Linked DNA regions of Struthio camelus. The protein of the gene in region 1 interacts with the protein of each later gene in a pairwise test. Links are inferred from orthologs where the notes say so. Each region holds a gene or a part of one and is shown on either strand. Other genes may lie near its edges. The genes, in order: RASSF5 and RASSF2.

Evidence for each region.
Region 2: the proteins of RASSF5 (region 1) and RASSF2 interact in binary tests that used the Homo sapiens proteins (3 or more experiments, as listed by UniProt). The link is inferred for Struthio camelus from reciprocal best matches to the Homo sapiens genes RASSF5 and RASSF2.

The regions. Positions count from the first base shown.
Region 1 is NC_090965.1:7,800,891-7,804,786, forward strand, and holds the start of RASSF5 (ras association domain-containing protein 5), read left to right. Parts: upstream 1-1,206; 5' UTR 1,207-1,889; coding exon of another isoform or gene 1,890-1,923; 5' UTR 1,924-2,242; coding exon 2,243-2,384; intron 2,385-2,560; coding exon 2,561-2,679; intron 2,680-3,896. UniProt on the Homo sapiens protein: Potential tumor suppressor. Seems to be involved in lymphocyte adhesion by linking RAP1A activation upon T-cell receptor or chemokine stimulation to integrin activation.
Region 2 is NC_090968.1:2,541,205-2,545,100, reverse strand, and holds the start of RASSF2 (ras association domain-containing protein 2), read left to right. Parts: upstream 1-826; 5' UTR 827-919; intron 920-3,375; exon of another isoform or gene 3,376-3,526; intron 3,527-3,896. UniProt on the Homo sapiens protein: Potential tumor suppressor. Acts as a KRAS-specific effector protein. May promote apoptosis and cell cycle arrest. Stabilizes STK3/MST2 by protecting it from proteasomal degradation.

The DNA.
Region 1 (3,896 bases):
GCTTGTTGCCCTGTGATAGGATGTCAGAAAGCGCCCAGGTGCTTAGCAGGAAAACTAAGGCTCTTTTCTGCGTTTGCTCGTGGCCGTGTTGTGTTAACTCCGAAGTCGGTGGAGATGCTGCAGGTCCTGCCTCCTCCCGTCCCCGCCAGGCAGGGGCAGGTGTGCACGAGCTGCAAACTTTAGCTCGACATCAAAGTTTAAAAGTGCTCATGGAGGAGGCAGCAGGAGACCTTGGGCCCTTTTGGCCCAAATTTGGGGGCGATCTTATCTCGTCTTCCATGCTGCGTTGCAGGGGCGGCAGGTCTTTCCTGGGGTGAAAGCCGCAGCTGATGGCTCGGGTTTGGCTCGCCCCGGGCCATGTGGCTGCTCCCTGGGCCCCCCCTGCGTCGTTCCCACCCCGGCCAACTTCAGCTATGGCTAGGGGGGAATTTCTTTCGGTCCCTGAAATTTGTTGCTGCGTCGGGATCTGACTCGATTTTTATTTTTTTAAAGCAATTGTATTTCCAAGTGTCACTTGGGCTTGAATGGAAACTATCTCAAAGCGCAAGTGGAGGCATCCTGCTGCAGCAGCTCTCGGCAAGCCCGTCACGTGGCCACATCCTAAAGCCGTGTTTAGTTTCTAAAATTAGTGTTCCCTGCCAGATACCGGGTGATTAGGTCTGCTAATAGGTGGCAGTGACTAAGGAGGTGTCATACTTTAATCCTGTAAAGAAATGCCTGGCCATAATGGGCCTGATCCGGGGACGCGCTGCAACTGTGTGCCGTAATTGCTGTGGTCTATATGAAGCTCCAGCGACGTTCCTGTCTGCCGGAGCCTGCTGCTTTTGCAACCCTGGGCTGGGAATTTCCTTTTTACCGGCATTTTTTTGGGCTGGGGCCGTGGCCCTGCGGCAGGGAGCCCAGCCGGATGCTGAGGGCGAACCCAAATCCCTAGGCCGGGACCCGGGGGACCATTTTCTATCCTCCCGTTTTCCGTGCCAGGGAGCATTTCAGCCGCTCGCCCCCAGCCAGGATGCTGCTGCCGCTCCGTCGTCCCGGGGCTGCAATTCTGCGCTGCCGCCGAGTGCTCAGGTGCGACTGAAGCATCCTCCGATTGGTGCCTCCAGCAAAGACTTGCCCGTCGTCCCCTATTACAGGGCTCTTCCACTTGCACGAAAGGTCATGCATTAAAATTACTGTGTAACTGTTCCGCTTATGTCTAATTAAAAAAAAAGCCCTCCCTGCTTTCCCCCCAGGCTTACGCCAGCAAACTGGCTTGGAATAAGGAAACGGTAGGCAGCTCGTGCTGGATGAATGTCAGATAAGTGATTTCCCTGTTTCCCCTGCAGGCTGGTGCCTCCCCGCTCCGGCACCGGCTCCCAGCCGTGGTTCAGCTCCTCTGGTTCCCGGGCGCTCAGCACTGCCGAGCGGGAATCACCGTTTCCAGAGCAAACTGGGGATGCTCCTCTGCTTCCCTGCAAACCCAAGACGTTTGCAAGCAATGACCCAGAAAAAAGGCCACTTTTAGTGATCGTGGGCCTTGGGTCAGGGTGCAGAGCTCACCAAACCGTGGAGGTGGGAAGAGCAGTGTGAGCAGTGCTGAAACCTTCCTGTGCTCCGGAGATCCAAAATCCCGTCTCTGACTGTGCCGTGAACTCCTTTGCCTGGGATTTAGGTTTTCTTTTTTTTTTCCCCTCCCCCAGTTCAGTGACTGCTCTGGAATTTTGGGTCGTGTAAAAGTAAATTGAACTCTGTTTATACGGCAGTTAAAAATTAAAAGGATCAGTAAGGTCATTAAAGCAGAAGGAGGTGGTTAGCTGCAGCCAAGAGGGTCTGGAAAAGTCGGGTCTTCGAGGGAAAGGGCTGGGGAGCAATAGGGCAATAAATAAGTGGAACAGCTGTTTCTGACAATGCTGGTCGTGCAGCCGCCGTCGTCGGAAAGCGGTACCGCACGCCTTAAAAGGTTAACCCGGGGCTTTGTGAAGTTTTCCGTGTAATTTCTACCTCGCGCTAGTTAATGTCTTACAGCAGAACGGGTCGGCGGCCAAAGAAATCAAATGCCCGATTCCACCCGGGCAGCGCGCGCGCGCTCGGAGGTGGTCGGGTGCCGCCTGCCGCCCCGGGACGGGTCCGTGGCTTCTCCGGGGGCGTTTCGGCAGGACCCCGTGGTGGAGCCGTCATTTCCCTAAGGCAGCCGGCCCTCAAAGTGTTTGCACTCGCTGACTGCTTTCCTCCGCTGCCCAAGCTAGCTCACTAAAATTGAATGTTTTGGTTATTTTGTATATTAATCTGCCAGCAGACCAGGGGAAAGGGCGGCGGGGTGCGAGGTGCAAACCGCGGCCCTGCAGCAACGCGTAAAGGTTTCCTCCGCGGCGGGTGCGGAAGCAATTTTTGTTCTGGGTCAGGTGCTCTGCAGCTCTTCCCTCTCTGCCAAAACGGGTCCGCGTGCTTCGCTCGCGGTCGCGGACGCATAACCCGACCGCGGCCCTCGGTCCGGGGCGAACGGGGCTGCTTCTCGCTTGGCCCCGCGCCGCCGCGTTGCTCGTGCCGGCGCCTCACTGCTGTGTTTCCTCCTGCCCAGACTGCAGCTACACCTGCCACCAGGAATGCCGGAGCCTCGTCCAGCTGGACTGCCGCCGGCCGGGACAGCCCCTGGGCCAGCTCTCGCCCGACAGCACCCTGATGCTGAGCTGCAGCCAGGTAGGGCCGGGGGTCGGGAGCGCGGCGCTTCCCGGGGCCGCCGCCGCCGGCAGAGCCGGGCGCGCGCGGGAGGTTGGAGCGTGACGACGTTTCGTCGCGGATCGGAGATGCGGGGCCTCTTGGGAACAGCCTGCTGATGGTAAGCGGCCTCTGTTTTGGAGACCTGGTGCCTCCCTCCCTCCCGAAGGGGTTAGCCCAGGTCCTCCCCGCCGCAGCAGGAGAGGCCGAGGCGGACGCCTCCTGCGTCTCGGCGGGATGCAAGCGTGGGCTTTGCTGGCTTCGTAGCCTTGAGGGGTTCAGCAGCCCGGGGGGATCTAGACGCTGCAGTCTGCATCGGGGATGTGCAGTAATCCCCGCGTCCGCTCCGGAAGTCTTCAGCTGTTTAATGGCGCAGAGGGTCCCGCGGGGTCTGTAGCAGCCACAGCGGCCTGAAGGCAGCGTCAAGGAGAAGGCTGCGGTGCGTGCCACAGGGCGCATCAGTACGATTACTTGGTGCCACAGAAGTCGAGATGCGAGTTACTTCTATGCCGGAAGGTTAAACCATCGCTTAAAAACCCGGCCGCGTGGGAGCCGATTTGCACGGGAGGGGAGAGGATCAGGCTTGTTGGCTTTTGCTTGCGTCCTCTGCTGCTGCCGGACCGATGACCCGCAGCGAGGTGCAGCCGTTTCAGCGGGTGCCTGAAATTAATACATAAAAAATATATATATATTAAATAAATAAAGGTCGCAAGCGGAGGAGCGGGGCCGGCAGCGGGCCGGGGCGCGGGCTGCGCTGGGGGAGCCCCGGGGCTTCGCCGCGGCCGGCGAGGGAGGTTTCCCGCCCCGCGCGGCAGAAAAGCCGGTGTTTTCCCGCGGGGCGTCACTGGGGGGAGCAGGGAGGCCGTGCCGGGCCGTGACCTGGTGCGTGGGAAATGGGGGAGGCGAGACGAGGGTCACCACGCTGCTTCCTCCTGGCCCCAAAATCGTCAGTAAGCGACTAGTCCCAGGGCAGATGGGAAGCCCGCGTCTGATCTGCGCGGAAAATTCATTTACCCAAAGTAAATGGAGTTTCAGATGTTGGCTTAACGCTGCTTTTTGGTAGAACGTTGCTAGATACCTGGCTGAGATTTTTTTCCAGCAGCTTTTGCCCCTTCGTACTGTTTAAAACCAAGGTGGACTCTGGTGAAGAGTTAAGACTTGGGCCAGAAGCCGGTCTGCGGCAGCCTGGAGTTGTCCCT
Region 2 (3,896 bases), on another chromosome or scaffold:
CCCACCTGGGTGCCCGAGACGGGGCCTCCTTTCGCTCCCTTGCCTCCGCCTCGTTCCCACGCCCCCCCCCCCCCGACCCCGGGACCGCGGGCGCAGCCCTCCCCCCTCCCCTGCCTCCAGCCTCCCTCCGGCCCGGGGTGGCCCCGGCCGCGCGGGAAGGGGGAGAGATGCGCGCTCCCCCCCGCCGAGACGCGCGCTCCCCCCCGCCGAGACGCGCGCTCCCCTCCGCCGAGACGCGCGCTCCCCCCGCCGAGACGCGCGCTCCCCCCCGCCGAGACGCGCGCTCCCCCCCGCCGAGACGCGCGCTCCCCTCCGCCGAGACGCGCGCTCCCCCCGCCGAGACGCGCGCTCCCCCCCGCCGAGACGCGCGCTCCCCCCGCGGAGACGCGCGCTCCCCCCCGCCGAGACGCGCGCTCCCCTCCGCCGAGACGCGCGCTCCCCCCGCGGAGACGCGCGCTCCCCCCGCCGAGACGCGCGCTCCCCCCGCCGAGACGCGCGCTCCCCTCCGCCGAGACGCGCGCTCCCCCCGCCGAGACGCGCGCTCCCCCCGCCGAGACGCGCGCTCCCCCCGCCGAGACGCGCGCTCCCCTCCGCCGAGACGCGCGCTCCCCCCCGCCGAGACGCGCGCTCCCCCCGCCGAGACGCGCGCTCCCCCCCGCCGAGACGCGCGCTCCCCCCCGCCGAGACGCGCGCTCCCCCCGCGGAGACGCGCGCTCCCCCCGCCGAGACGCGCGCTCCCCCCGCCGAGACGCGCGCTCCCCTCCGCCGAGACGCGCTGCGCGCCGCCCCGCTCCGCCCCGCCGGCCCCGCTCCGCCCCGTCGAAGGGGGCGGCCCTACGCGGGCGGCGGCGCCGGGATGCGACGGGGGCGGGCGCGGAGCAGCGCGGAGCGGGGCGCGGCCGGCGGCGCCCGGGGCCGGGTGAGCGAGTGCGGTGCGGTGCGGTGCGGTGCGGTGCGTGTGCGGGGGGGGCCGCGGACGCGCAGGACGCGGCGGCGCCGCCGCCCCGGAGGCCTCGTCCCGGCGGCGGCGATTGTCCGGGCGGACAATGGAGGGGGCGGCCCGGACCAGGCGACGGGAGCGCACCCGCTCGGCGGCGGCCGAGCTCCCCCCCCCACCCACCCCCCCCGCCGTGGGAACGGGGCGTCCCCCGGGGATGGGGCACCCCGTGGGAACGGGGCATCCCCCGTGGGAACGGGCTCCACCACCGTGGGAACGGGGCGCACACCCCCCCCCCCGTCGGCGATGGGGCACCCCAAAGGGGATGTCCCCACCGCACTCGTCCTCCCCTCGGGACCCCCCGCCTCGACTTCGCGCTTCGCTTTTGCCGCTCCCTTTTCCCAACGCGGGGATGCAGCGGCGGGAGGCCGAGGCGTCGCGGGAGCGTCGCCGCCCGCCCCGGCACGCGACGCCCGGCCGGTGGGACGCGAGGTGGCCACGTGCCCCATCGTCGCCGCCCGGCGCGCGGGTGGCTCGGCGAGGACGGACGCCGTCCGGGCTGAGACCCGCCAGCTCGTTTCCCGCGGGCCGCGCGGAGCCCGCTGACGGCAGCTGGGTCAAACCGGGCAGCGCGACCGTCCCCTTGCCCTGAGCCAGCGTCCAGGACTCAGTTTCCCTTCGGGGTCGCGCGCAGCCGCTCGTCTCCATCGCGGCGGGGACCCTTCGTCCCCAGCGCGCTCTGCCTTTCCTCCCTTTCCCCTCCCGGAGCAGCTGGGCTGGCAAACAATAGGGCCCCTAGAAAACAATGGAAGCGCCGGCACCTCCGTGCTTAAAGAAATCAGCAATTAGTGAGAAGTCGCCCGTTAAACATTAAACCTTAAAAAATAAGCCGCCCGTGGGGCAAAGCAGCAGCGGGCGGCTCTTCCGGCGAGTCGCTCGGCGGCCGTGGCGGGGTCGTCGGCCCGGCTCCGGGCGAGAACAGCCCGGCTGGCCGTCGCACCGCGCTTCACAGGGGCTGCGGTGTAAAAGGGGAGAACTATTGCCTGCGGGGGGTTGTTTTTGCGCCTTGGGACGGGCGGACGTTGGGGCCGCTTTACGCGCGGCGCGACAGCGGCAAGGAGCGCGCCGGGGAAGGGGGGGGGGGGCTGCCGCTCGCCGCCCGCTGCCCCGGAGCCGAAGGTTTTCCGGCTTCCCCGTCCTTCCCGGGGGAGCGAGATATTCCCACAGTCCCTTGCGAAGGCGGGAGAGGCCACCGCAGCGCTGCCGGTCCCAAGCTGCTCGCGCTGCCAAAGCATCCGGAAAGCAAAAACACTCTGAAAAATGCACTTTTTCCCTTTTTTTTTTTTTTTTTTGGTTTTTTTCCCCCTTTTTTGGTTTGCTTCGCTGCCAGCAAGACCTTTTTTCTTTCACGCCTTACCCGCCTCGGAGCCGCGGCTCGCGACCCCTCTTCGTTGCCAGCGGACCTCACTGCCCCGGCGAGGAAATCGCATCCCCCCCCCCGCCAGGGACGTGGGCCCCGATATTGTGGTTATTTTTATTATTAAGGATTCGGCGTCGGATGAGCTGCCGGCCGAGAGCCCGGGCACGCCGTCGCCGTTCCCGCCGGGACGCCCCGACCCTCGCTCTGCCGCGCGGCCTGGGCTCCCTCCGGACCCCCAAAGCCGGAAGCGTTTGCCCCTGTTCCTCGCATGGCGATGCGATGACGGAGCCGAAAGCGAAACGGGCAACGGGGCTCGCGGCGGCTCCCGGCTCGGCCGCAGCATCCCGGCGCCTTTTCCCGACCCCCCCCGCGACGCTTCCCCGACGTCGCCGTTGCGGGCGATTCGGCCGCTCCGTGCCGGACCGCCGCCGCCGAGCCGCTCTCGGGGCCGTTTTTGGGGGCGGCGCGGAGGAGCTCCGGCGGCTCTTCCGGCGCGTCCGGCGACGTTTTGCTCCTCGGCAGGTTTCTCTTCTGCTTTTGCAAGACAAAGAGGCGCCGGCGCTGGGGGCCCCTTCCTGCCCTGCCGCTTCCGGCCGGCTCCCGCGTGGCTTCGCTCTCGCGGACCCTGCGCTTCGAAGCCTGAAGCCGGGTCTTTTTTGAAAAAAATTTTTTTTTTTTAATAAAAACTTCCTGCCGTCTAGGGCTGACGGAGGACGCGGGCAACGTGGCCGGACGCGGTCCGTCCCCCGCGCGTGAAAAACCCGGTTCAGTTATTTCGCCCGTTGTAGCGCTGTTAAAGGTGTGTTTGCCGCAGCTCTGGACCTCCGGCAGGGCTCAAGCCTGGGCTCTTGCTAAGCGCGGCCTGAAAAGCCCCGTTGCTAAAACCACCTTAAAGCTGCAGCAGGAGCTGCCGCAAGGAAGGGCCTTTCCCGGCGCGCCCCGAGCACCTTTCGCCCCCGAATCACTTTTTTTTTTTTTTTTTTTAACCGCACTTCCTCCCTTGTGAAAAAAGAAAAAAAAAAAATCCCCTCGGGCTTTAAGTCCGGGCCCTTTCAGAGGTCGGATTTTTGGGGCGGTTTTTTTGAGCGTTCGGATGAGCGAGAGCGAGGGAGACGCCGCGGGCAAGTTGTCTGGCTGCCAGAGGAAAGGCTAAACAGCCGACTGGCGAGGTAGTCCAAAAAAAAAAAAATAAATAAAAATTTAAAAATTAAATTAAAAATAATTTAAAATTTTTAAATTTTTATTTTTTTAAAAAAAAAATTAAAAATGTAAAAAAAATAAAAAAAATAAAAAAGGCTAGACGCCGCCCCGTCTCATCTCACGAGGGCGTTCGGGCTTTGGGAAGCCCGACGGCAAGCAGCGGGACGGCGGGAGCGCGGCGTGCCCGGCGCTGCGCGGCCCCAGCTGGCGCGAGAAACGGCTGGAGGGACCCGACGCCTCCCCCCCCCCCAAATTCCCTCCTCACCCAGGGTGGGGGGGGCCTCGCGCAGCCGGCGAGGCCCCGGCTCGGAGGCTGCCGCAGACGCAAACGCGGCCGTA